Linked DNA regions of Notamacropus eugenii. The protein of the gene in region 4 purifies or fractionates together with the protein of the main gene of each other region. This does not show direct contact. Links are inferred from orthologs where the notes say so. Each region holds a gene or a part of one and is shown on either strand. Other genes may lie near its edges.

Region 1 (7,235 bases), on a different chromosome or scaffold from region 4:
TTTAGTCTGAACCTACAACCTTGAGTACTAAAATCAGGGTACAGGTAAAATATTCTAGGCTATACTCATATAGCTCAGCATGACAGCCATAAACCTAGTGTTCATACATCCAGGGGCACTGATGAGGTCTGCTACAATGTTCCCTCTGCTCCTTTCACCCTCAAACTCTAAGCTATCCTGTTTCCATCATTACTACTCTTCCATCACTCCACACACAATAAATCTCATGATATGAAACACAAATGAAACTATGGCAGACCTCCCCCATTCTGAAGCAATTACTAGCTGTGTAATCTTGGGCAAGTCACTCTTCTGAGATTCAGTTTCCTCATTTATAAATAAGGGGAGCAGACAGAGTGACTTTGGGGGTCCTTTCTAAGTCTAAGTTTGTGTGACCCCCATTAGCTTCAGTGTTTGTACAGGGGCTCACCAAACATGTTCACAATTGCCCTGGAAGCTACCCACACACAATCCGCATGGAAGAGTGATTTCCTCCATAGATGAACTTAAGATCTTACTGTTCAAGGATGACATAGTGCTGATTTTCTTTAAATACCAGAATACTACTAAGTATCCTCAATGAGATCCTCAAAAATTGAACAATCCACATGGGGGAAAACCAAATGGATGAAAAAACGTGTATTGTTTAGGCACACTAGATGGGCATTCAGTTGGATGGGCAGCCCATTAAATTAGTCCATCAGTATGCATCTCTTGCAGAGGCACATGTCTCTGGATGGACAATGAACTGGCAACTGAATAGGAAGAAATGAATAGACTGGATTGCATTTGGAATATTATCCCATGTTTTCAAAATCTAGAAGTGTTTCCTGAAATGACCACTTATCATTTTTTTGTCTTTATAGGTTTATTTTTATTTTTTTATATCACAATCATTGCCTTTAATCCCCTATATCTGTTGTCCAGGGCTAAGATTAGTTATAATTAATCAGAGTTTTACTGCCTCCTCATATAATCCATCTTGTTGCTTTGATTTGGCACACTTATTTTTTTCAAACCTGCAAAATCACAGGTCTCCCTCAACCAGAACAGGTCTGCTCAGTAACTTAGTCTTGGAGATCTGCCTGCAGCACTGAAAGACCAAGGGTGCTTCCCAGAATGAGACAGCCAGTTGTCAGAAGTAGGGCTTGAACCTAGGCCTTCTGGCCTCTCAAGGCCAGCTCTCTATCCAATGTGCAATATTGCCTTCCTAATTCATCTTTTCACAACATTCTTCTAGTGATGCTAGATACATTGTTAAGTGCTTAATAAAATATCTGTTGCATCGAACCAAATCATTTCATGACTCCAATTGCCTACTGGATAAAGATCAAATTCCTTTGTCTTTTAAGACCCTCCACAATCTAGTGCCAGCCTTATCTCAGACTCTTTCCTTCCACATATTCTGCCCTCCCCTCAAATTAGACTCCTTGATGACCCCACACATCCTATACTTTGCCACCTCCAAATCCTTTCTGCTTCTTGTGACTAGATGTGTTCTCTACCTACCTCGCAGAACCCTAGGGGGCTAAACTCCTAGACCTCCTTTAAAGCCTAGTTCATATTCCACCTCTTAAGTCTTTCTTGATTCCTCTACTTGGTATTAAACATTTTGCCCTTGAAACTTGCTTAGTTCTTGGCTGGTATTCTCATGTACCCACTTTAAAGTTTTGTAAAGATATTCATAGATGTTTTTTCTTTTTTTACACTGTGGAACTGCCCAACAGTGTCCCTCTCCCCTGAGAGATCCCTCCCTGGTCACAAACGAAAATGTCTTGTCCACTTATACATTATGTCTACCAGTCATTTTTGTGTGTCTTGCCCTCCCTACCACTCCCATATATGCTTAGCAACATTGTCTCACCTGAACTTTGTATCTCTCCCCATACCTAGCACATGGCAAAGACTTTTTATAAAGTCTGATTGAATGGGGTCCAGTGGTTGTGAAGCTCAAATAACACAAATGATGTTAACTCACTTATGTAACTACTTTCCCCCTAACTATTGAATGAGGAAGGCCGTAGGATTTAGACCCAGAAGATATTTTAAGAGACTACCTACTCCGACTCCTTTGTTTCAGAGAGGATCTTAACAATTAGAATAGTTAAAAGATAGGATGAACTCCTCATCACTTGTGGGCTTCAAGGAGATTAGTTCAACTTTAGTAAGCAAATATTAGTGTCTCCAATTTAAATAAAGCAAAAACAAAATGAAAGAACTGTGACTTGTACAGTGGACAGCTCTGAGGGCTCTATGGACTAGTTGTGGTTTGACCTCTAGACCCTCCCAACTCTTGACTGTGGTTTGATTAAACGGAGGGCCAGAACAGAGCCAGGATTCGAATTGGTCTATCTGGGTTTTACAGTTTCCAAATCAAGTGTGTTCTAACAAGTAGATCTAACATGCCAGAGGAAGTCCGAAGATTCAGAAGCACTGTCTGACACGTTTCTAGCTTCCTCTGGGGACTTACGTACAGGATGGAAATTGAAGCCTCACATGTTCTATTTTCTCATGACCTCTTGGAATCACTTCCTGCTTCAGCTTAATTTAAGCTAACTTTCCTTATTCCCTTATTTATGGCCCATTCCCCAAATACTTTATGTATACACATTATATTTTGTGTACATATTCTTCTCCTTCCCTTATGTTAAAGCCTCAAGTGTTCTACCACCTCACAACCTTTTGCAATGTGTAGTTCAGCTTAATTTAAGCTACCTTTTCTTATTCCTCTACATGTCTGTGGTCCACTCCCTAAATACTTTATATATGCTCATTATTTTGTGTATATTTTTTCCCTTCCTCCCCTGGAGATTGGGGCCGAACCATCCTTGTTTTTCAACTCTCAGGTCCTAAAACAGTGTCAGCACTTATTAAATGCTTAATGAATATTTAATACGGTCAATTCTTGCTCCAGGAGCAAGTAATTTTAGGTATTTTAAATGCTTTGATTTTAAACACACCCCAATACTGGAAGAATCTGTGATTTCTTCTGCAGTAAGGCCACTCCCTTCACGTACTGATAAGTCCCAGGGCTGTGCCTCAAACATGCAGAGCTAAGAGAGCAGCTCTGGATTACACAGCTCGCAAATTTAAGAATTAGGATTTGAACCCAGATCTGCCAGAATTAGCACGTTTATAACGAGGCTGATAGCCAGGGGCGTTCAAGTAAACACCTACATGAATTTCCACTTCAGCGGACGTCTGCAGCGAACTTACCTCGTCAGGGCACCACACGTGCCCTGACACTCCAGGTACGGCCCCGGCCCCAACCCCGGGCCACCCACTGGGCCTCAGCACAGTCGGGCATAAAGCCCGCGCCGAAATCAGTTAGGAAAGAAGCCCAGCACCGCGCCCGCGCCCGGGGCCTAGACCGACCTCATCAAGCCCAGCTCAGGGTCTGGGCGGGGGCGTCCTGAACGCCGACTTGGGCGCTAAGATGCCGGCCCGCCTCTTTCCTGAGGTATCCCATGGTGCCCCGCGGCCTTCGGCCGCTCAGAGCATCCCGCCTTTCAGACCGAAGCGACCCCGAACTCCTCTACTCAGTTCTCTTGAGTGCCCGGCCTCAGTTCATCCAATCGATTCCCAGCACCGCGTCCAATCAGAACCCTCCGGGGCTTTCCCTTCTATTACCCCCTCCCTTCCCCACCCCCAGCCAATGCAAGCACAGCACCCTCATGAGGCGGGGCCAATCGGCGGGCGGCTCCGGGCAACCTCTCTCCCGCCCCCCCACGCCAATCCGCGCGTCCTTCCCGGCCGCCAGCCCATCCAACCGGAGCTTCGCAGGCAGCGGGCGAATAGGCACGCGGCGGCCCTCCGGCCCCAGCTGGCGGGCCAATCGGGAAGTCCGCGTGGCCTCGGTGGGGGCCAATCGGACTGGAGCGCGGTGCCGCCGCGACGAGTTCCGGCCCGGATATCCCTCCGCCTCTTCTCTCGCTCTCTCTCCCCGCCTGCGAGCCGCCGTTCACTCACTGACTCCCTCCCACCCTCTTTTCCTTCTTTCTCCCTCCGCCGCCCCAGCACCAGCCGCGCTCCGACTTGCCCCCGGGGTCCCTCCCCCGCCGCCGCCGCCACTGCCACAGCCGGAGGAGCCAAAGCCCTCGATACAGCAGCACAGGAGGAAAAGGAAGGGGAGGTGGAGAAGAGGCAGCCAGGCAGGAACGCGGGCAGGGAAGCCGGAGCGACCAGTAGGAGGGAGCCGGTGAATGGGCTTGTGGTGACCCCCGCCCCCCCACCCCAACCCTCCCTTCCCACCCGGCCCCCCAACCCCCCGTCCCCCATCACAGCCATCGCCGCAACCGCGGGAGTCTGAGAAGCCGGAGCCGCCCGAGGAGGAGCCCGAGCCCCCGTCGCCGCCATGGAGCTGATCACCATCCTCGAAAAGACCGTCTCGCCCGGTACGAGACCGGGGTTGGGGCTGGGGCTGGGGCCGGGGCCAGGGCCAGGGCCGAGGCCGAGAGATGGGGCGGGGGGATGGGACCGAGGTGATCTGACCGGGGGAGGGGAAGCCCCCTCTTCCCCCTCTTCGCGGTTCCCCTGACCCCCTTCCTTTTCCTTCTCCACAGATCGGATTGAACTGGAAGCGGCGCAGAAGTTCCTGGAGCGGGCAGCTGTAGAGAACCTGGTGCGTTTTGCGCCTGGCCCCCTCCCATCCCCCCAGGCTGGGGCCTTCCCGCCCTCCCCGGGGCCCAGGCCTAGGGAACCCACCCCGCCCCATCTCGCCCCCCCTCCCCCTTCTCCCTCCCTTCCCCCCCTTCTCGGACCAACCTAACCCCGCCATCGGGAAGCCGGTGGGTGTGTCCCGCCCCAGGCCCCGGCAGCCGGCCAATAGCGAGGCGCGCCGGGCGAGGGCTGCCCAATCACCGCCCGGCCTGAGGGCGGCGGTGCAGCGGGAGGGAGGGGAAGTTAGGTTGCGCGGCGCTGCGTGTTCAGTAAGGGTGGGGGTTGGGGCGCCGGGGCCTAGGGACCATGTGGAAGCCCTAGGAGCCCGGCCAATCGCCCCGCCTAAGGGCCTGCTTCTCCTTTTCCGTGGCCTTTCTCATTCTCAGTCCACTTCATTGAGCTGGTCTTTTCCAGACTCTGCCTCCATAGTCTGGCCTGGTAGCCCCCAAATCTCCTTTCACTTAATGCCCATATTTTACCCCCTCCTTGAGTGTGGGTCTTCTGCTGCCATCATGGAACTGGATGGGGATAGAGTTTTAATCGGTCAGGGAGTTGGTCTTAGACTAGGCAGTGTGGCCCAGAAATGAGGAGATGAGGCCTATTTCCTGTTGCAGTTTCAGAGGAAGTATTTTGCTATTCTTACTTTCCAGATTTTAAGAATATGAAAAAATTATGCAGTTCCCTATTTGATGGGGAGCTGTTTCTCTGGATAAAAATTTAGGGTGGATTGAATGAAACAGCCCATATGCCAGTCATGTTCCCCTTTTGGTGTTTTTCTTATAAAACTGAGATTGAGATGTCTGCGGCATAATGTCCTCTTTTAAATGGTTGAAGAACCATAAAATATTCTAAAAATGTTTTTTTCTGTCACTTAAACTAGACGTAAGGTGAACCTCATGCCAAAAGAAAAAAATTATGGATGGTTTTTTTAGACTGTTTTTAAGTGATTTAGTCTTGTGCTTTTAAAGGTCAGTATTGGTTGACACTACAATTTTAGCTATAATTAGGTTATTTTATTTCTTAACTGGCCTGTGTGTGCCCTTCACGTTTTGCAGGCAAGACCTTTTACTGATATAAATGAATCATTTGTTTTATTTTTGTGAAGAATTGTAAGAAATCTGTTTGACTTGTTACTTAATAATGTGTTGCCTGTTGAGAAGATTAATTCTTGCATGTCTCAAATTTCATAGACTGGCTCTGCCCATTTGTGGCTTAGCTTATGAACTTTGGGAGTAGGGTTGAGAGACTTTGGGGGAGGCTATATTCTGTTTGTTAAATATATCTGCATTTATAAGTAGTTGGGGCTTGATGGAGCTTCTTGCAGATTTCTAGCTTCAGTAGAGTGCTCAGCTTCAGTATGGTTAGAAAGTCAGGAGCAACTGATAAATATAAATTAGTAAATGACAGTAGTTTGTTGAAGTCTTGCCTTACAGTTTCTCACTTCTATTTTTGAAATTGAATCCTTAGTTCTAAAAGTTTGGTCCTTGTTGCCAACCTTCATATCTTTTACCTTGCACTTATTCTTCCCAATTTTCATTTTATTGCCATTTAATGCTTCTGGCTTATTTTCCCTTTATAGTGTCTTTGAATAGGGTACAAAGAAGGTTCCTGAAGCATTATTTTACTTTGAGTTTACATATAAGTAATTACAGAATTTCAGAATTAGGAGGAACCTCAGTGGCTAGTTAGTCTCTTTTATTAATGTACTTGACAAATGGTCATCTAGCCTTTGCTTGAAGACCTTTAATGAGTGGGAACTTCCCAAGGCAGCCCATTCTTCATTTGTAGAATTTTACATTGTTAAGAAACTTATATCGAGCCTAAATTTTTTTCTTCTACTAGTTGCTCCTACCTCTTGTCTTTTCCTTCCTGCAAAAATAAAGCTGACTTTGGAGGGAAGGCTTAGGAGAGAATCCTGACTCTTCTAAAATAGCCTTGTGACCATGGGCAAATCACTTTGCTTATCTGATCTCTTGTATATAATGGGCATGATAAAGAATTTCCAAGACCTGCGGAGTTCTAAGATTTACTGAGTCAAGAATCTAGTCCATTTTGGATGAACATTCCTAGAAGGTAATTGTCAACTTATTCCTTTCCTGCATCTGTCCATAGAAGAAACCTATTGACTGACAGGTAGATCAACAAACTAGCTTTGAGTTTGAACAGGTTAGCTGTGGACATAAAGACAACGTATAAATGACATCAGTCAGAATGAAAAACTATCCTACTTTTATTTATCTGAGTATAGGAGTTGGGGAGAAGGATGGTGAATATAGAGTATCCCAAAAGTCTTAGTGCAGTTTAAAGCATGTTATTGGTGTATGAGCAAAACAATTAAGTGGAGTTTTGAAGTTGATATTTTAAAATTTTTATAAAGACCTTTTGCTTTTTCCCCCATGAGTTGCTAACCAAGCTAACCTTAATCTGGGAAATTCCCTGAGGCTGTTACCATTTACAAATATTTTTCTTCTCCTAACCAGCCCACTTTCCTTGTGGAACTGTCCAGAGTGCTGGCAAATCCAGGAAATAGCCAGGTTGCCAGAGTTGCAGCTGGGCTACAGATCAAGAACTCTCTG
Region 2 (7,270 bases), on a different chromosome or scaffold from region 4:
TTAGAGGGGGGTACAATCATGTTAAAAAAGTAGAGAGCAGAAAAAAACATTTTTAAAAAATTAAGAATAGATTTAGTGGTCAAATAAAATTTTAGGGAACGATAAATCGCAACACAGAGAGCATCATGAAAAAACACAAGTGTCTCTTAGGCATCATGTGCCAAAGACACTTCAACTGAGGCCAAGGCTCTTTATACAGGCCTGGGAAGGCCCTCGTAATTTTTTGCATTCTACTTCAGTTGCAGGCATTCAATACCAGAAAGACACAGAAAGATTACAGGAAAGTCAGGGAATTATAATAGAAAAGAAAGAGAACTAAAATCAGAGAGAAGCAATTGAAAGAAATGAGGTATGTGTACTTTATAGTCAAATGGCTACCAGCAAGGTATAGAGAGAAAACTAATCCAACTAATGGAAAAATGGCTACAGAAAGAAGTGGAGTTAAACTGAGTAAGATACAATCCTAAAACAATACCCTAGAACTGAAATAACAATTTGAACTGCATAATTATCCCAGTAAAAAAGACACTAATTTATAAATGGAAAACGTAACAGTCTCAGAATAGGTCAAATGTCCCTCCCGTCAAATCCTAGGGCAATTGTTCCAGGTCAGTCTCAGCAAGGTAGACTTTTCCATGTAGGTTCAAGAAATCTGTCCAGGAAATCTCCAGAATCAATCCTATGAGGTTCAAGTTTGCTTAAGCAGATTCCAGTGATGTAAACAGTAACTGTCAATGACCCTTCTTCACACACGGATACTTTAGGCTTTTTAACGTCAGCTGGGGAGAAAATAACTCATCCTGGAGAATACAAACACTGCGTCTCCTAGCACTTTACAGGCTTGCTAGTTACACGGGAATACAGTTCTCATTCTTCTATCTCTTGAACAGTACACTTGGGTTAGAAGAATCCCTCCTATCCCAAGCAGACTGACAAGAGAGCGTCTTTTGATGAAGATAACTAGAATTTATGTGGCGCTTTAAGGGTTACTCCAGAAGTGCTTTATATGCATTATTTCACTTGATCCTCACAACAATTCTCTAACGTAGGTGCTCTGACTACACCACCCCCTCAATCCTTTGCTGTCTCCTAGGCCAACTAGCAGTGAACTACTCTTCCCGAACTATAATGTTCCATTATCCCCATCCCAACCAACAGTCTGCAGTGATGGATACCACACTGCCAACAAACCTCCACCTCATCATCCTGCGGTGCTGCAGAGAAAGAAACACTCGGACTGTTTGCTAGTGATTCACCATCAGCTCAGCAAATTCACTTCATTTTCTGTAGCATCTAAATGGACTTTGTCAATTTCCGCACTGGCAAAATCAAAAGCCAAATGCACTAGCTACAACTAAATATAGAGCAGAACTGAACCGTGCTAGCTTCCCACATACAGCTCCATCAAATCCCTTCTATCCTGACCCACCATTCCTTTGCTATTCCAGTCTTACACTCTCCCCACCCCCAACCACACAGAGACATATATATTACTTCACCAATGTCCTTTATCCTGCGTTGCAGGCTCTCTGGCATTCCAGTCTTGAAACACAGAAGGGCCTCTCAAACGGTAACAGTTTCATTCCCTATCATAACTCCTTTTCCCTTACAGGACTGGATGACTCCAAAATATTCAGAATAAGGAGCTTCCTACAGTTTGAACCACTAGCAGTAACCACGGGTTTTTTTTTCCTTTAAAATTTTTCCCCCTGCTATCTACTCAGTGCCCCTTACAGAAAATCAGTACTTCGAACCATTGACATTGACTGGTTAGTAGAAGAAGGTGACTAAAATAAAAAAAAACCAAAACCTAACTTCTAGCACCCTAGAGATCGTCATACCCTCAGCGGGTCCTCAATTAGCTAATGCTGATAATTCATAGTCATTCCTGTCACAGATGGCAGGCTGGGGAAAACAAAAAGGTCTGAATGGTTTAGGGACACTAGGAAGACTGGTAAGTAATGGAACGATTAATGTAGCTGCCCAAAAGTGTCTTGGGGGCTCTCAATTCAGTACCTCTCATCGGTATCGGTCTTACGGAGGACGCTAAGTTCTAGGGTCTCATTCAAGGACTTCTTCGATCACTCTGCTTAGTTACCACCCAAGACATCGAGTCCAAGCCATCCACTCGGGTGGCTGCCCCTTTAAAACACTACAGCTGCTGCATTTCCACAGCTGCTGCAATGGGCAGGGATATTTCCTGCGACACCAGACCCAGGTAAATAAAGGAATGGATTCAGTGTGTGGTGGGAGGCGGGGTCTTCCTCCCAGAGAGTTTACATAATGCCACAGAAAACAAGTCCGTGAGCCCCGCAGACCTGTCACCGCAGACGCCAGGCTGAAGCCCCCCGTCCTTCCAGCACCCCACCTCCCTCTTCCACTAAGGACTCCCAAGCAGACCCCCTCCCCCTGCCCCTGCCCACCTACCTTTTTATACTAACCCAGCCTCCCACCTCGGATTCCACTGAACTGGGAGTTTGTTCCCAGGGAGAGAAGGGCTCCGGACGGAAGGAAGCACTGCCACAAGTCCACACCACGCCCAGCATGCAAGGACACAACGATGCGAGGCCGGGTGCAAGGACTGCAACGTGCGGCGCGGCCCCCCCAGCCTAACCCGGCTCCTTCCTGCACAGAGGCCGCTTCCCTCCCTCCGCCTTCACAAAGGAGAATGGTTCAGTCCGGAGCATCCCCCGGCAGCACCTGATCCCCCATTATTCACGGGGGAGGAGGGGGAGGAGGGAAGGAGAAGGGGAGTGGAGCTCCCGTGCTGAAAGAGGAGGTGAAGGCCCCGGGGCCCCCCAGAGGAGCCCGGGGGAGCCTACCTGAAAGAGTCCCGCTGCCTCCTGGACGGGGCCGCTTTCAATTCGCCCCGTGCAGAGAACAAGGCGCCTTCTGGCGGAGCATGGTCAGCCCTTGCCTCAGCCTAACTTGCTGGTAGTCCATTCTCCCCAGTCCCCGCCCACTTTGCTCCGCAACAGCCAATGGCGTGGCCGGGCCCTGGACTCATCTAGCAGGGTAGGGTGAGCGCCATCCAGGAAGTCTCTGGAGGGAAGGGAAGGTGGGGTCCTAGGAAGCCGAGCGGGGTAGGCGCCCGAGGCAGTGCCTGACTGAAAACAAAATGAGGTGGCACTGTCGTCTTGACCCTCTGGTCCCCGGGGGTTGGAAGTCCTCGGCATCTCTCTTATCCCCGACTTTTGGGGGAGCTCTGGAGTGAAAGACCCAGTGGCTTGCTCCTGGGAGGCCATCTTGGGCTGGACGGGCTGGCGGGGGTGGCTGAGTGGGGGGGACGCGGTGGACACCTTCCTTCCAGCCTCTCTGCCCCACTCCCCTGCGTCCTGCGGGGAGCCCGTGGGCGTCCTTGAATGGACCCCGCCGAGGGTGACCCCGAGCCTCCCTCCGCCCCGGCGCAGGCCGGCGCCCGCGCCTCTCCCCGCACCCCCAGCGGAGGAGCCAGGCTGGATCCCGCGTGGGCAGAGCCCCCGAGAGCGGAGAGCGCTCCGCTCGCTCCTCTCTCCCGAGAGCTGTCAGTTCCTGGGGTGCTGAATCTGGGCCGGGGAACCTGCCCGGCTCCCTCCGCAGGCCCGAAGGAGAGCTTCGGGGAAGAACTCTGCAGTCTAGGCCCAAAAGCGGGGGCGAGTCCTGGCCCCAGGAAGATTCTGTAGCCCCTCTGACCCGTCCCCTGCAGCGGGGATAGTTCTTGGACCGCTGCCTTCCCACAGTTACACTCAGAAATGACACATGGAAGGGGAGCAGGTTGGACGCATGCATATATTTAATAATGAAATAATTCAACAGCAAAATAATAATAAAAAAGAAAGTAAAGAAATAAAGTCCATGAGGCACCAGTGTGGAAAAGGGGGACTGAGTGACCTAAGCGGAAAGATACAGGGGCTGGACCGGGAAGACGCGTGATGGGAAACGGGAGCAGGGCTAATTGTTTGGAAGATAGCATAATATGCTTTTGTAATACAGGACTGACTAGAAAAGTGCATGCTGATTTGCTGGCCTAGCGGCAGTCAGCCTTCCTATATAGGTCTGCATGGAATGGAAGTGAAGATCCTGGATATGGTAAAGGGAAGGCAAATGAACATGGATCCTAAGAAGGGAAAAAATGAAAATATGGAACCCAGGATCAGCCGTTAGAAGAGACTGGGATATAGTTCCTAAAAGGTGCTTCCAAAGCCTCAGAAAAGGCATACAATAAGGCTGTTCTATGTCTTTGAAGTCAGTCAGAGTTATAGAGTACATATTATGTGCAATACTAAGCACTGTGAGGGAACTGGGAAGGAAGGAGAAGCACAAAACAGAAGACATGGTCCCTGACCTCTATGTGGGGAAGAAAGGTCCTCCACATAAACAACCAATGATACATTTACAAAGAAACAAAACGTGCAAATTAACATAATACTGAGTTTATAAAGGCTGAAGTAGCACTGAGTATTAGACCAATTAGAATTTGGTGGGGTTGACTTTGGGTCATAAATTATTCTTAAACTCACTAAGTTGAAGAACATGGATTAGCATGTAAAAAAGCAAGGAAGAAGGAACAAAAGTCATGTGTAACAAGCTGAGGAGAGCAAGCAGATTTGCTTGACTGGAGGATCTGTAGTGAAATGAGGTTGGTCAGATAGTAAAGATTCAGTTGTTTGAGGGTCTTGACTAGATATAGTCTCTAAAAGAACAAGAATAAAGATTGTTTTCTCTAGGTCCTACATAGAGAAAAAGACCATTGGTCCTGGACTGCCTCAAGAAGTTTAGTTACTTCTCTAAAAGTGGACCCTAAGAGATAAAAATTAACAATGGAAAGGAGTTGCTTACAGACATAGAAAATTGATCATTATCTCTAAATGCTCTAGCAGAAGGAACTATATGTTCCCTACAAGGTCTTTGAAAAAGTAGCAAACGGACCCCCAAAGGGAAGGAAATAAAAAGGCTGCTGAAATTCCCAAGCTGACAAAACCATTCCCACATGGTACACCAGTTCCTTACTCTTTGACATGCTCACTCAGAAGATCTCTGACACTTGTTAACATTCATAACGGGCAGCAGGGTTGTGCTAAAAAAAAAATCAGTGTTTGCTTATCTTTGAACTCTAGTGAGTCTCAGCCTTGCCCCTAACAATTCAGAAATTAAAAGATGAGGATGGGAGTTGGGAGGGGAGAAGGAAGAGGGAGGAGCCCTAATCTATAGGAAATGTTCATGTCCCCAAAGAGGAACTGGTCAGTTAAGGGCACAAATTCTTCCCTAGTCGGGTGGAAGGGCAGGATATCACACCTGGGGATGAGGCTCCCCTGGCCTAAGCAGCCAGGACCCCTTCCCTCAAGTCTGCTGCATGTGGGATCTGTTCCAAGAAGGACCAGATACTATGGCCAGAAATTCAGCAACAGCTCGAGCTGTCACCTGTGCCTTCATAACTCCTTTGATATGAGCTGGGTCCTGATGATGCTGAGGCTGGCTGCTGAGGCCCAATCTTGATGCCATTTGCCTGTAAGAAAAAAAAAGAAATATCCCCAAACCTTAGTGTTAAAATGGAACAGAGACAGGAAGAAAGAGGGAGAGAGAAATAAAACAAAACAAAACAAAAGAAAAAACTGATCACTCTCCAAAAGGCAGGAGGGGCCTTGGAAGGTGAACAATTCTTGTAGGTGCATACTAAACAGCTGCAAGGTCAATCAGTAGTTATATAATGGCTAACTGTAATAGAAATACATAGAATTGTCTAGAATTAGTGGAGGTTTTGTTTTTGTAATATGTATGTGTATGTTTATATATATACACATATATGCATATATATACATATATGCCTTTATTATGTTTAAATTTTTGAGCCACAATAACATGCATACATGTGGTGGGAAGGAAAGAGAGAAAGGGAGGATAGATATGGGAAATAAGTTTCTCCCTTCTGTTTTCACCCCAGATTGTATAGAAGAGGATGGATCCTTCTAATTGATAGTGTTTATAACTTCCCCATACCCAAGGACTGTAAAAAAGAAAAATTTTAAACAGTGAATGAAATGATTACTAACCACTTATTTCTTCAACCACTCATTCTGCATCATCAAAAGAAACCAGGAAGAAATAATGGGTCTCCTGAAGTCTCATGTGAAAAGTCAGATTTAAACTGCCTTAGTTTAAATAGAAAGGCAACAGATGGGAGAAACCTACATTCTAGGAAAATCCTTATCTTATTCAGGTTAAAATAAACCAGTGCTAGGACATGCATCACCCCTTCTCACCTCATTGTTGACATCAAATAAGCCCTGTTGGATCTTCCTATATATTTCTTTGGCTGTGTTAATGAAGGCCTAAAGGAAACAAATCAATTCACATAGAGACAAGGAGAGCTGAATATAGAGAAATAAGAGAAAGAATGCAATAGCTTTTTTCTGTTGTATATCTAAAGAGTGAAAGGGGGAATTATAGAAGACAGGGAAGAAAATCATAGGAAGTCTCAATAACCACGGCACAGTCTTTCTTAAGATTCTTAGAGAATGCTTCCCAAGATTTTCAGTACCATCCTCAGTATTGGCCCAAGATCTTTTCGGGTTGGTGTCATATTTAAACTTAAAAAAATACTGATGTCTTTTGCTTTTATATCACCTTCATTTTCAAATATATCCCTCAATCTTCTGTCTCCAGAGAGCTATCCCTTGTAAAACAGAATAATAAAAAAGGGGAAGGGGGGAAGTTAAACAAAACTATTCAACATAACAACCAAGTCTGACGGAATATGAAATGTTCCACCAGCGCAGCCCCCATCTCTGCAAAGAAGGAAGGGAGATATGTACATTATATACAAACTGAATGAGCATCTTCCTTATCTTACAAACCACTGGGGAAAATATTAGATGAATGTAGGCCTCTAATCAGTTATGCAGCTACCCAACAGTGCTGTATATACCACATTTTATTAATGTTATTTGACCACTTAGGAATTAGTTAAAATGGAATAATTCCATAAAAAGAGAGCACTTGTTTCCCCAATCCACTAAGACTACTCCTTTCCTTACCAAGAAGACTTTGTGCTATTGGGGAAGGGAGTTCTGAAAGAAAGGTAAGAATAATGTCCTGTTAGTCCCTACATCATTTTCTCCACTCCCTTTGGGGCAGTACCTCTTCAACATTAGAGGCGGTTTTGGCTGAGGTCTCCATGAAGATAAGCCCATGCTCCCGAGCAAAGGCTTCTCCTTCTTCCCTTTTCACATCCCGTCGAGACTCTAGGTCACTGAAAGAAATTGATGGAGACAAAAGGAAAGAAAGATCCATA
Region 3 (7,295 bases), on a different chromosome or scaffold from region 4:
TTTTCAATCATCTGCTTTAAGTCCTCTAGGTGGACATGCCCCAAGCATGTCCATTTCATTTCTAAAATTTAACTGCTAATGGCACTACCAATCTCTTTGTCTTCAGAGGAGAACCTTGTAGTACTTTTCATCCATCCACCTAATCAAGCAACAAATCTGACCCTTCTCTGTCATGCCTCTGTCCTCTTTATTTCCATCACAAATATCCTAACCCTAGCCCCTATTATTTTTTTTCCCCTACACTTCCACAAAAGTTTAACTCATCCCATTGTCTCCTTCAAGGTATTATACAGGGGCTAGATACTGGGCCATCATCAGTTGTCTTGATCTTTGTTTCACCACTGAACTTTTGATGACTTGGTGCCCACTCATACACAATTCACCACCCTCAAGATGCCATTGGTTCTCTTTGAGAAGGAAGGATGAACAGGGGTTCTGCATGAAGTCTTTACACAGAGGGAGGACAACTTCCAGAGCAGGTGCTGTGAGTTAAATCTTTTCACGCACAAGCCTCAACACAACAATGGCTGAATTTGTAGGAAGGACTGAACTGTTGATAGAACTTTTTGTATTAAATGTCTTTACCATGTTATCCGAGAGTAACAGTCCTCTCAGGGGACCCAACCCGCCAATTTAAGCAGAAGCTGGAGAATGCTACCCTGGCTTGTTTTCATTCTTGCTTTGTTTCATCTTCTTTTACTTATTTAGTGCCCCCACCCCCCCAAAAAATCTAGTACAATTTAGTTTTTGTCCAGCTTGGTTTTAATTTTTAATTTTTTGAAGTATACCTGTGAAAAGACAGACTTTTAAAACCCAAATCACTCTTCTTTCCTAGAATAGCCAAGAGTAGCTCCAACCAAAGCCTCAGTGACTCATAGTTTAGATTATAGTAATGTTTCAGTTCTAGGCAGAAACTTGGAGGAATTTCCCCTCTCTCCCAAGATAGATATATTTGTGATGGTAAATAAAGCCATCTTTTGTCTCCACTCCCTTAGTCATTGAATGGATGTGGCCTCAGACAAACTGAGACCTGGGAAAGACCTTTAGAAAGGAAGTCACCCACTGCATCCCAGGCCATCACCAGCTGTCTTTAATGCATTTTAATGACTGGAGGAAAGAGTGAGACTGAAACTCTGAGAAGCTCTACCCCATTCATATCTAATACATCACCTTCCAGATGTCATTGGTCTACTTCCAGAAAAAAAAAAAAAAGCAAGTGCCAGGATAAGCTTCCCAAAGTGACTCAAGTCACTCTTTTTGATTAAAACCTTCAAAGGTTTCCCAATAGTTATTCAAAGCACCAGATTTTGTATGAGAGACATTCTGAACCCCTCCCAATCTGTCTCTAGCCTTATTATGTCGATGCAAATGAGACTGAACAAGTCAAGAATCCTCTGCCTAGCCCACCATTCTTTCTAAATGGAATTCCCCTCCCAAACTCTAAACTTCTACTCATCATTATTCTAAGCCTACATCCAAAACAAAAACACTTGCAGAAATAATCACAAAAACTTTCAAAATACTTCTTTCCTTTAATTGGGCTTTTAAAACCATGACCCTAACGTACTAAGTAATCTCTTTGTGGTTTATACTTTTCCCAGCATAATGTATCGTGATTTCCCCCCCCCACCTCTACTAGCATATAACTTCCTCATGACCAGGTTCTTAGCTATCTTCTTACTGTTCACAGGATTATGCACAAAACATGATCAAAATATTAAATCCAATTCAATACATCTCTAAAGCTGAAAATTTTTAGTAAAATTAGATTTGAAAATAAGAACTTTTTTAATGTTAAGAAGTTGAAAAAGGGTATCAGAAGTTGTGGGTTTCCTTTACAGGGGCTGTCCTCTTTTTTCATTTCCACATAGTTTACCAAACAAAAAAATGTTTCAAGAATGAATGACTTTACCTGGAAGAGGGGGGACAGAGTACGACTTCGAGACAAGAATTAACGCTTCAATACAAGTTTATATTATATTAGTGGAATTACCAATCAAGAACTTGCCACAAACAGCCCTAGTGAGTTGGGAAGGATAAATTCACGCCACAAAAACACCTCCCGGGTGATCCGAGCAAACAGATGGGCGAAGAAACTCTTCAATGGGCCATGACGTCACGTCTCGGGCACTATCCCTTTTAAAGCTTTTCACTCCAGCGCCCCAAGGCGCAGCCGAGCCAGGGACGGGGAGGCCGAGTGCCGAGGCCCAGGGAGACTGCTAGGGCCACAGGCTCCGCGCTCCAAGCCCGCCAGTACGCGGACCCCTCCAGCCCCCCGCCGCTGGCCCGAAGAGGGAATAGAATGGGAGGCGGCCCCCAGTCCTTCCCCCTTCTCCGCGCCGTACTTAAAAGAAAAGCTCGGATGCCGCAGGCTCCGCCGCTCAGTCACTGTCTTCCCCCGCTCTCGCAGCATTCCTCCTTCACCCGGGTTACCATGCCGGGTACTAGAAACTTCTTACCGGCTCCCTCCACCCCCGCAGGAGCATCTCGAGCGGCACCGCGCGCGTCGCCCGGACCGAAGGCAAGCCCCGCCCCTTGAAGCACGAACAGGCACCTCTCCAGCCGGACTCCAGTCGTTCCCCGCGGTCCTGCGGCACCCACCCGAGAGGCTCCGACGTTCGGCTCTCGCCCTCCCTCCGGGCCACCTTTGCAGTAGCCGGCTCAACCGCCAAGCGCGCCGGGGCGACGTCACGTCCGACCCCCCACAAGGACCCCCGACTTCCTTCCCCGCCACATAATACAATCAACACGGGGCCGAATATTAAGCACGGTGCGCAACGAATGCCTAGTATAAATGCAATGGTTAATGCAGGTCAGAATAAGCGTCTCTACCTCCGAGACGGAAAGAATCCCCAAGAGGCTAGAGCGAGAGAGTAGTAGGCACACTGGGAGTGGAAAAGGACAGGGCCTCCCGTTCTAACACTTACCTGAGTAAAGCTTTCCGCCATTCTGTTTGCGGAAGTAGTAAGTGCGCCACGCTTCGGCTGTTACGCAACTTCCGGAAGGCGGTGGAAGAAAAAAACTCATTTCCACAGAACGCATGCGCTTTACGTTTCCTCCCCATTCGCACTTGGAGTATCTCTTCCTAAGTAAACTACGTTTCCCAGGGTGCTTGGTGCGGACTTTGCCTTGGAGGCTCCGAGCTGGGCACCCGGCAGGTCGCAAGCACGTTTTGGCTGGGCGAGGCTGGCTGAAGAGAGCGAATGACCGCCCTGGCCGCCTGGGTCTGGGGAGGGTGAAGGGGAGGCCTGGTCACACTGGCTTCAACGGGGACCCTGGGGGGAGTTCGTCTCCTATCGGTGATTGCCGCCGGAAAATCTGCCCTGTCAGGGCTTGCGACCACGGACCCAACGTCTTCCGAGGTACCTCGGCCTCTGTGCTTCCCGGGGCGGGAGAAGGGAGAGGTGAGGGGGCGTCGCTGACCCCCACAGCCGTGGGGAAGAGCAGGGTCGTCCCTGCTGGGGAGAGAAGTGGGAGACGGACCTGGTGCTCGTGGCCAACTGCTTTACCCGAGCCAGTGGGGGAAGGGCACGACCTGCCCTGCTGTGGTGGCTAACTGCCCCAAGGCTCTCCCTCCTCCCTCCTCTGCCCTCATTCTCTCTCGAGGGACAGCCCTTGTCCTTTTTCCTCCATATGCCCTTTGCTCCTCTCTCCTCTCCCCTCCCTCTTCCCCGGTCATAACATTGAGATGGTGCCCCTAGAAGTTTTCTGTTATTTTGTTTGGTTTCTTACCCACGACTGGAAGTTCCCCGCCTCCCCCCTCCAAGAACACAGGCCTACCCCGCCCCCCGTTTTCTTGAGCTGTAACCGCGCCGCGGCCTCTGTAGGTTGGGAGGGCACCGCGTCTGGGGTGGGCAGGCCACACGTGCTTCTTTGGAGAGATGGCAGGGGATGTGTGTGATGAACCTCGCGCGCCCCGCTGCTCGCGCGTGGCTGCCTTTTACATGAGGGCAGTCACAACTGTGTGGACTCTCTGGGAGTGAGAACCCACGTTATTCCGAATTTGACACGCTGGTCTGCAAATATGACTGTTTCTAACGACCTGCAGTAGAGATAAGCCAAATCATTAGTTGATTGTGTTCATATGTAGATGTTGTTGAAAACTATCTTCTTCTGCTGAAGGGATTAGTGTGAAAATGTGCTTCACCATTCAATTTGAATTACTTTACCCCCAAGGCCGATCTCACAGTCTTTAAGGAAAGTTTTAAAAAAGATGAATTTTGTCTCCTGTCAGAGTTTATTGTCAGAACTCTGTTAAAAAAGCAACTGGTATCAGCATTCTGTGAAGGAGAAATTACAAGGCTGCATGTATATATATTTTCAGTTTAACTAGTCGATATTCAATCCTGTGTACATACCACCTCATGAACTGATTCTGGAATAAGACATTGAAAAGACTATATTGACTATAAATTGTTCAATATAAATTATGGTATTTGTGAAGATATTTTCTAAAGACTAGTTTTATCTATTTAGTTGGTACACATTTATGTATTTTTAAAATAATAATTTGTAAGTCAAATCCTTAAGTTAGTGATTCTCATTACAGTTCCAAGGAACCATTAGGAATTCATCATCCAGCAGACTTTATTTCTAATTCTATGAGGTTCTCTTAGTGTTAAATCTTTTGGTTCTTACACCAAAATTTAATATAACTAATTTTGAGGGAAAACATGTGCTTGCATATACTGGAGTTATTCCAAGGAATCAAAAGAGGTATGTACGTCTCATTGATCAATGCTTTTTCATAGATACTGAGATGATTTTTGGTTTGACTTTTATCAACTCTGAATGAATCAGGATCCATTGTGCAAGAATTAGGGCAGGGCAAAGTGTGATAAATAATAATGGAGGGAAGAGGGCGGTACAGATGATAAAAAATAAAAAGGAGTTTGAAGTTTAGCTAGATCCTCAAGTAATGCCAGATAAAACACAAGCTTTGGTAGATCCTGTCAAGCACAAGCCCTGACACATGGTAGGCATTTAATAAATATTTGTTTACTAACTGAAAAAGATTCCGTTATAGGCAGGAATAATTGTTACATAGTCCTTCATTTTAGCCAATTTCAGAGAGGCTCACTACTTTGTATCTACAGTGGCTTGAATAGAAAGAGAAGCCTGAGGAATTTACTCTGCTTCCTACTAAGAGTTCTCTTTGAAGAGTGTGAATTTCTCCTCTCAAATTTGTAATTACCAATGTCAGGAGAACTTGCTATTCTTAGTGGTTCTCAGTGTCACATGTTCCTTAGAAAGCAAGTTCTCCATTGCAAACCTCTATATATGACATAAGAATTGACATTTACAAATACAAAAAAAATTAAAGAAATTCTTCCCAATGGTAGAATAAGGTTTTGAGAGAGATTTTTAAGTAGTGGATATGGAGCTGGAGACTTGGAGTTAAGAAGACCTAAATTTTAAATCTGCTTCAGGCTTTTAATATTTGTGTGATTTGGGGCATTTAAATTAACCTCTCTGAGCTTGTTTTCTCATCTATAAAAAGAGGATAATTATAGCACCTACATCACAGAATCATTATAAGGATCAAGTGAGATAATGTTGGTCTACAAACTTTAAAGCCCAATTTAACTGAGCTGTTCTGTTTTGAGTCTGGGAAGGGGATAGCAAAAAGTAAGAGTTTTGCTCCATGGAAATGTTTGAATCAAAAACTATTATGTCAATTATAATTATTACTATTAATTAGAGCAAATAGTTTGGTGTAATGGAAAGAGCATTAGACCAGGCATTTGGAGACATGTACACTAGTCCAATATTTGCTTATTGTTTGACTTAAGCAAGTCACTTAGTTCTCCTTGAGCATTAATTTCCACATCTCTTAAACTAGAAGGCAGTATGAGATAACTAATATTTTTTAAAAATAAGATTTACATTGGTGCCTACCTTCTCCCACTCCGACAGGTAACTTCACAGAAACTCAAAAAGTTGGAAGGAACTACAGAGGTCATTTGATACAATCCATACCTTCCTCTCTGCAATATATCCTACAGATGATCATCTTGCTGTAATTTCTTCAACAAGGCCACATGATATTTCCAAAGTAAGCCCATTCCCTTTTGGGAAAACTAATTTGAAAGAAATTTTTCCTTAAATTAAATAAGACTATGGAGTCTTAAAGACTTACAGGGCACAAGTGGTTCTTTTTGTTTGCTTGTTTGTTTTTATCATTGCTTATGATAAGGGTTTTAGAGGAAGAAGGAAGATTTCACCAGAAACTGCTGGATAAGAAAAAACTAAGAACAGGATTGGGATTTGTGGACCATAGGCTTCTGGCCAGGAATGAAATATCCCTAAAGAGGGCAATTAAAGATGTATTTACTTGGAATCTTGCAATCTTAATCAAAGACAACTATCTACTTATGTCTACTGTGTGTGTATATATATTATATATATGAGTATGTGTATATGTTCACCCACATCCACTATACTATATAGAGAGAGTAGCTGCAGTATCAGGCTTCTAGGTGGCACAGTAGATAAAGTGCAGGTCCTGGAGTCAGAAAGACTGATCTTGAGTTCAGATGTGGTCTCAGATACTTATTAGCTGTGTGACCCTGAGAAAATCATTTACCCCTTTTTGCCTCAGTTTCTTCATCTGTAAAATGAGTTAAAGAAGGAAATGGCAAACCATTCTAGCATCTTTGCCAAGAAAACCCCAAATGGGGTTAAGAGGAGTTGAAAACAACTGGAAAATGACTAAACAGCTACAGGTGGAAGATGATTAACAGCAGACCCTCCTAGAAATCCACAAGAGACAAAATTTAAGAAAGGAGCCAGCAGTAAAATACATGGACTCAGCTGCATGGCATAAATGCACAATGCTTAGGTAACAAGCAAGGCAGACTAAGGATATTAAGTAGATAATACTCATGTGAGGAAACCTAGAACCCAGAAGGGAAGAACATTTGGGTGAAGAGCAGTGAAGGCAGAAATAGGAGTTAGACTGTTGTCTGTGTGCAGTGTAGAGCAACTGCACAGAATGAAGAAGGGAATGAGGAACATGGAAAACAATTCAAAGGCTAACCATGATAGTAATAAAAGTCTTCAATTATTCAGATGTGCTGAAGTTCTCCCCCTGCCCAAATCAGAATGGTTCAGATTATCATAATTTGTTTTAAATATAATTTCCTGCTTTATAAGATAGAAGAACCAAGAAAGAAAATTGATATTTCATGCCTGGTTCTCACCGACCAGGAGGGACAGGGACATGGGCTTGAAAGGATAGGAACCTCATCGGGATAAGTGACTTCTTATCCAAAGAAAAAGAAAATGAGGACAGG
Region 4 (7,193 bases):
TCACAAGACCTCATCCTCAGTTCCATGCTTGTCCTTGAACAAAGAGCATCATAGTTCAGTTTTCCCATCTGCCAAATGGGCACAGTCTCCTACATAGACATCCCAACATTATTCTTGCCTGTCTTCATTCATGTTTTTCCTCTTACTGAGAATGCCCTCCCTTTTTCCTTTTGCCTATTTATTTTTCAAAGTCCAAATCAAATTCTATCTTCCACGAATTGAGAATGATTGATGCCTCTACTAATAGAACCACAGCATCTGGAGCTCATTTTACACGTGAGGAAAGAGGCTTAGAGATTTTATTTACCACAGTGATACAATACCACAATGACAGTAAATAGCTGAGCTAGGATTCCATTTCAGGTCCCCAGACATCAAATTCACCACTACATTAACTCCCTTCCTACACAGATATACTCAAGAAATATCCGGAAAAGCTCAAGATAAAGGGCTTCACAGGAACAAGTCTTTGAATTTTATATATAATACAGTGTAATGTTTACAAAGTATTTTTCTTTCACCAATCTTATGAGAATGTAAGCATAGGAGTTGGTCTTCTGACTCAAAAGACCAGTATTTTCTAGGTATTCTCTAACCTGTGTAAAGGATACAAATCAGTGCTGTGAAAGGCAGCTAGGAAGCAGAAGACTGCCCACATGGGGTTCTATCCTATGCAAACTATGTGGATAAATCAGAAACTTTTGATGAAACTGTACTGACATGAAAGGAAAATTCCAATAAGAAAAAAAGGAAGTTATCTTAAAAAAAAAAAGGCAAATAAGGATAACACAGGGAATTCATCAGCCACAATAAAATTTCAAAAATACATATACACCAGTTAGATGCAAGGGCAGGCAACAGAGGATGAATGCAAAAGTTTGGCATAACCTTGTTCTAATAGTCATTAATAGGTCATTGTTAACTGGAAAGATCTCCACCAGAGAAACTCAGGAATTTGTACTTGGACCTTTTTATCAATGATTTATTGATATTGATTAAAAAGAAGGCTGTAAATAATAGAACTCGAGTTTTCATGTGCAACCTTCTCCTTCTATTTTATTATGTATGTAAAAATTCTTCATTTGATACTGAAAATGAAAAAAATCTATTATCAGTGAATTAAATAAAGGTCGTTGGTTGCTGAATCTAAAGATGACACAAAGCTAGCTGAGAAGGAAAGCTAACTCCTTGGAGGTCAGGATCAAAAGGGAATTCACAGGTTGGAACACTGGGCCACATCTAATTAAGACGAAATTTAAGAGAGATATATGTAGAGTCTAATATTTAGGTTCAAACAATGAACTTTGTACAGGTAAGGTGGAGGATAGCAGCAATCTGGGAGTTTCAGTGGAGTGAAAATTCAATGACTCTACAATAGTATGATAAGGTAGTCAGTAGCCCCTAAAGACTGCACAGTTGGATTAGTATGCTTATGGTGGCTGTTGTCTGTCCTTCATTCTCAAGAGGGTGATGCCATGACATACAAGTGAGTTGGATTTAAGTAAGGGAGGGCTTCATCAGCCTCACTTTCTCCTCTGAAGCTATCTGGGTTCAGTGGCCAGATATGAATCAGGACAACTGGATAGGGCCCAAGATGCAATGAGAGATCTTGCCTTAGATCTTGCCTTTTTAAGCTAAGGTCTTTAACAGGTCTCAGTTTGACTGAGGCAATACTCATTCAGTGATTGAGGCCTAATAAAAATGAGGCAGAGATTGGCTTCTTTACCTAGTTTTTAAAAAAAAAAAAAATCAATCTGGGAGGAAAAGACTCTCAGGGTTTCTGACCAAAACAGAAACAATCACTATTTACGTTCACTCAGAGCCAATCAGGGGTTTCTGTCAGTCACTTCTGTCAGTCTTAAGTTTCCTGAACTATAAAATGGGGATGATAACAATAATAGCACCAACCTCCCAGGGTTGTTGCAAGGATTAAAGGAGATATTTGTAAAAGGCTCAGGGCAATGCCTGCCACATTCAAAGTGCAATTAAGTGCTAGTAACTGCTGCTACCGCTGCTATTACTACTTCCATCACTACTACAGGTACAGCATTTAAGGAAGGGAACTGATAAAAGATAGAAACTATCCAGAAATATGGATCAGAATGGTGAAGGGCCATGAAACCTTATGAGAGGAGAATGAGTCCTGGGGATGTCTAGCCAGGAGAAGAAAAGGCCTGGTGGGGGGATATGATAGCTGTCTCCAAGAACCTGAGGGGCTGCCACACAGGAAAGGGATTAGTCTGGTTCCGCTTGGCTCCAAAGAACAAAAGAAGGAGCAAGGAAGGATGGAGGGCAAGGTAAAAGTGCATAAGCAAGTTTAGGCTTGGTTTGCATAGACAAGCTTCCTACAGTTAGAATTATCCAAATGCTGACTGGATTGTCTGGAGGGAGTAGGTTCCCTCCCATCCTGGACTATTACTTCTAAGTATGTTTTAGAGGAGTCTTTTCAACTTTTACAGGTTGGACTAGAATGCTAGCACCTTCTAGCTCTGGAGTCCTGCAATTCTATGGCTTTTATGGCAGTCTCAAGGCTTCAGGGATTTAAAAATGAATTTATGAGATTAAAAATAGAAAGTGAAAAGATTGGGCAGATAGGAATGAAGGATATTTTGTCAATGGAGTACAATGACATGAAAGACATTCCAATGAGTTGTTGAAACCCAATAAGGCTGTGTTGGGGGAGAGGTGAAGATCGGCTATCTGATAAGCTGGGCTGGGACCTCCTTCCAAGTTCTTAGAATGTGTCAAGCAGCTCACAGTCACACTGGGCAGAGTGCAAGTCAACTTAGCACAAAAGCAAGGAAGCTTGATGACACTCTCTGGACACTCCTAGGTAACTAATGATTATTCAGTACAGATAGGTAACAAAAGGCTGCCAGTGTTGCCTATTGAGTTTCATTACCTGACAGTTGCTTTTTCATGACTGAGATCCAGATCTACTCAGGGTGGTTGTTCCTCTGCTTGCCTTGGCACAGAGCTGACAAGGGGAGCTAAAAAAGGTGATTATATGACTGTATTTTTGTCACTATGGCAACAGGGAGAATATCTCACAAATACTGGCTTATGACTTCACTGGAGGACCGAGGAAGGGGAGTTATAATGATTATTAAGGACAAATTCACATCAAAACATTACCTTACCATAGAACAAGGTCCAAAGGAAGAAACATTATCAGAAAGGTCCTTTTAGATCTGTGTCTGTGCCTATGCCATGGGCCAAGGAGGCCTCCTTGATTCAAGCTGGTGGCAGAAATTCACTTTTTTTCACTCTTCAGGAACCTGCTATCTAGAAGACCTTAAATTAGTTACATCATTTCTCTATGTCTCAGTTTCTTTAGCTGTAAAATGGTGGGAGGAGGGGAAAATCACATTCTCCAGCTAGTCTTTGTTGACAGGGAAATATAGTCTGCACCACAGTATAGGCAAGGGATCTGGATTGGGCTGAGTGTTCCCCAAAGTAGTTATTAACAGATGGGTTACCAATTTGGAAGTAAGTTTCTATCAGAATGTTCCATTCTTGTACTGTTTACTATCAACCAACAAGCATTTACTATGTGCCAGGCACTAGATTTAGTGTGCTAGGGATTTAAAAGAGGCAAACAGTTCTTGCCCTCAAGAAGCCTATATTCTGATATAATTTGGATGAGACAAAGGTGGAACACTCAACAAATCTGCAGACACAAAGGTGGGAAAGAGAGTTAACATACTTGATGACAAAGTCAGGATCCAAAAAAAAACCTTGGATGGGTTAGAGCAATAGGCCAAATATACTAAAATTATTTATTTTTTTGGCTCAGAGAATTATCTTTTTTTTTAAAGAATCATGATTCAAAAAAAAAATTTCTCTTGAAAAAAAACCTGCCCATTGTCTTCAAAGACCTTACATTAAAAAAAAACAAAAAACCAGCCAGCTATTTTTAAATGGTCACGTATAGCTGGGTGTGGAGTCAGCAAGACTCATCTTCCTGAGTTCAAATCTAGTCTCTGACACTTACTAACCAGCTGTGTGACCCTGGGCATGTCACTTAACCCTGTTTGTCTCAGTTTCCTCATCTGTCAAATGAGCTGGAGAAGGAAATGGAAACCACTCCAGCATCTTTGCCAAGAAAACCCCAAATGGGGTCATATAGAGTCAGACATGACTGAAATGAATGAACAACAACAAACCAGGAGGGGAGGGTATATCAAAGAGGTCACCTGAAAAAGATCTGAGAATTTAGGTGGCAGAAAACTGAGTATGAATCATCAGTATTGAGTGGGATACTTAGTGAAGACTCCTCAGATTGTAATTTTTCTCCCAGGGGTGAGGTAAGGCCTAAAGGCTCAAGGTTACAATATTTTTAGAATAGAATAGTTCCATATAAGGATATAAAACTGTGTAGTGTATTAGGGTCTCAATGACTGGACAAAACTTACATAATTCCTCGATGTCTTCATTTCAAAAGGGATTGGTTAGATTTCGTGTCTAGAATGTAAGACCATATTCTCAGCTAATGAGGATAATGGTCAGTGGGGGGAGGAGGGACTTGCGTTAGGGTCTATATAAATCACTGTCCTGTTCTTTGTCTTTCCTACTCCTACAGGTGAACCCCACTTCTCGAGAATCGAATAAATCACTTTTCTGTCATCACTTTGAGAGGCCTCTGAGTAATTGATTTATGTAGGGACCTGAGCCATCCCACACAGTATAAAATAGTAACTTGATCAAAGCTGATGAGATCTTGGGCTAGAGCAGAGTGTCCACAATAAGGGAGCAAAGAATTTCGCTGTCTTTTCCCCTGTCATCTGGAATATTACATTCAATTCTGGGCACTCGTTTAAGAAAAAAAATAATTGAGAATCAAGAGGATGACACCCCAGACAGCAAAGGGCTTCAAAATCAGGCCACATGAGGAGCGTCTGTTGAAGGAAGTAGACGTGCTTCACTTGGAGAAGATGTGGATGGAAAAAGGATCATTTATCCTGCTTAGACCCATGGCATATTAGCATGAACAGCAGATTACAGCGAAATAGGTTTTTGCATTGACCTAACAAAAAGCTTCCTAAAAATAAGAATGAAAGAGACTGTTAATCTTCACCCTAATGCTGGGTAACAGCCTGGCAGCTAGGTTGTGGAGCGGGGCTACCATGTTTTCCACTCTGACCCCTGCTCTGCGGCGTGGCGGGGCCTCCGGGCATGCGCAGTGCAAAGTGCCCACCTGGAATTCATTAAGCATTTGATTTTCAGTTAATTTCCGGTGGTTGCGCATTCAGAAACCTCTTATTGTTGCCCCTCGGTTTCACGAGTGCCGGCCGCCCCGCCCCCACGCGGCCCGAGGAGGGGAGGGGGCGCTCCGGAAGGAGAAGCGGCAGCGGCGGGAGGGCTTCCTGCCCCTGCTCTGGAGGACTGGGCTTCAGCTCCCAGACTAAATCAAGGCTGGAGAAGGGTAACACGGCCAGTGCGAACGAGCCCTCCCCCGAGAGGAAGGAGGCGGCGCGGGGCCTGTAGGGCAGCAGGCGCCCTGACCTGCAGTCCGGCTTGTGGGTAATAACCGGGCACGGAGAGCGCCGGGTGCCCAGAAGTCCAGAAGCAGCGGATGCCTGGGAAGAAGCGCGCTTCCGCAAGACCGAGTATCACACACGTGCCGTTTATGCCGTGAAGAGCTCCCACAAGAAGCAAAGTGCCGGCCCAGACGGCCAGCCCCTCCTGGGCGGCCCCGCGAGGCTGCCAGTCTCTTCGGTTACTGCGCCAGAAGCGCCGGGATACAGGGACGGGGCAAAGGGAGTCCCTGCCCCCAAGACGCTCGCAACGAGCCGGCGGACGGTTCAGTGATGTAGATAAGGTGAACGGTGAAACGATGAAGAGAAAGAAAGAACCAGAAAGGTTTCCAGTAGAAGGGGAGATTTTATTTGGGACTTGTGCTCAGAATTAAGGTTTTAAAATGCACGGACACGTAGGCATGTAAAAGAAATGAATTTTACTGAAATATGATGAACAGATGCAAACAAAAACAAGTTCATGGACCCAGGGGAAGCGCTCCTGCCTGGGACTCTGGGCCTCTGTTACCTAAATGTCTTATTTCCCTCGTGGTAAGGTCAGTACTCTATACTACCACTCCCATGTCACACTTACATTTGGATTTTACAGTTGGTCTGGAACCTTTCTTTAAGAGGGACGGCAGGAACCCTCAGGACCTAATCTTCGTAAAAAATGAATCAGCAAGTTATTTATTAAGCACTTTCCATCTGCCGGCCACAATACTAAGAGCTGAAGACCCAAAGACAAAAACAAAGCAGTCCCTGGCAACCAAGAGCACATATTCTATCGGGAACCAAGCTGTATCTATGTAAATAGATATGCAAGACACATAATAAGGGGTGGGGGGTTCACACTAACCAAGAAAGACCTTATAGAAGAGGAGGAAGAGGTGGTTGGCTCTTGAGCGGAGAGAAGTTAGGAATTCTAGGCAAAGAGAAGGTACATTACAGGTTTGGGAAAAGGTTTAAGTAAAGGTGCAGGTGACAGGAAGGAGTTTTAGACCTTAAGCATTCTAAGCTTCTATGAATAGGTTGACAAGATTAACCCAGGGTCTCACACTTGAGTCAGAGGCCCAGTCTAGTCTCACCTTTTGTAATTATTAGGCCTAAAAACACACTTTAGCCTAAAACTGTCTCTGGGAGGCAAATTCTCTTCATTTAGTGGCAAAGAGGTTTCCTCAAGGAATAACTGTTAAGCTTGGTGGTGGACAGCAGGAGAGAGGCTCTCAAGGTCCTAAACATTTCTGAAAAATGAATGAACATTTATTAGGCTCTTGTACCAGATGCCAGCACATGTGGAACAACCAGGAATTAGAGTAGACCCCGGCAGGCACCATTAGGATGAGAGCTCCTTGGGGGAGGTATTATTTTGTTCACTGTATTCACTGCCTCTCATCTAGTGCCAGCATTAATGAATTGTTCAAGTATTAATAAATTCTTGTTGATGGATTGAGAGTGTGGCCTTTACTTTGTCTTTGTACCCCTAGCAGAGGATCTGGCACTTGGGTAGAAACTTAATAAATTCTTGTTGATTGTTCAAGAACATGTGACAGTGAAACAGAATAGGACCAGATGCCCTATCTTCCCTTCGGTCACTGCATGTGCAAGTCTGGCTTATTTAGCAAAGAAAATTTCCAGGTTATGGGGTCAGGGTGAGAGAATGGATCCAAAGTATAT

The links.
Region 1: the proteins of KPNA6 (region 4) and KPNB1 purify together in Homo sapiens (affinity purification with mass spectrometry; 4 studies listed by BioGRID and IntAct, with this or other methods). This does not show direct contact. The link is inferred for Notamacropus eugenii from reciprocal best matches to the Homo sapiens genes KPNA6 and KPNB1.
Region 2: the proteins of KPNA6 (region 4) and CHD8 purify together in Homo sapiens (affinity purification with mass spectrometry; 4 studies listed by BioGRID and IntAct, with this or other methods). This does not show direct contact. The link is inferred for Notamacropus eugenii from reciprocal best matches to the Homo sapiens genes KPNA6 and CHD8.
Region 3: the proteins of KPNA6 (region 4) and RNMT purify together in Homo sapiens (co-immunoprecipitation; 3 studies listed by BioGRID and IntAct, counting the BioPlex papers as one, with this or other methods). This does not show direct contact. The link is inferred for Notamacropus eugenii from reciprocal best matches to the Homo sapiens genes KPNA6 and RNMT.

What each region holds. Positions count from the first base shown.
Region 1 is NC_092873.1:353,612,364-353,619,598, reverse strand, and holds the start of KPNB1 (importin subunit beta-1), read left to right. Parts: upstream 1-4,212; 5' UTR 4,213-4,354; coding exon 4,355-4,394; intron 4,395-4,562; coding exon 4,563-4,621; intron 4,622-7,139; coding exon 7,140-7,235.
Region 2 is NC_092878.1:12,473,512-12,480,781, reverse strand, and holds the start of CHD8 (chromodomain-helicase-DNA-binding protein 8), read right to left. Parts: upstream 3,023-7,270; 5' UTR 2,823-3,022; intron 2,448-2,822; exon of another isoform or gene 2,428-2,447; intron 1-2,427. Other genes in the region: RAB2B (ras-related protein Rab-2B), read right to left, coding at 5,378-5,485, 6,240-6,308, 7,117-7,228. UniProt on the Homo sapiens protein: ATP-dependent chromatin-remodeling factor, it slides nucleosomes along DNA; nucleosome sliding requires ATP. Acts as a transcription repressor by remodeling chromatin structure and recruiting histone H1 to target genes.
Region 3 is NC_092875.1:228,469,291-228,476,585, forward strand, and holds the start of RNMT (mRNA cap guanine-N(7) methyltransferase), read right to left. Parts: upstream 3,016-7,295; 5' UTR 2,928-3,015; exon of another isoform or gene 2,346-2,927; intron 1-2,345. UniProt on the Homo sapiens protein: Catalytic subunit of the mRNA-capping methyltransferase RNMT:RAMAC complex that methylates the N7 position of the added guanosine to the 5'-cap structure of mRNAs. Binds RNA containing 5'-terminal GpppC.
Region 4 is NC_092876.1:77,691,491-77,698,683, forward strand, and holds the start of KPNA6 (importin subunit alpha-7), read right to left. Parts: upstream 3,022-7,193; 5' UTR 2,922-3,021; coding exon 2,903-2,921; intron 1-2,902. UniProt on the Homo sapiens protein: Functions in nuclear protein import as an adapter protein for nuclear receptor KPNB1. Binds specifically and directly to substrates containing either a simple or bipartite NLS motif.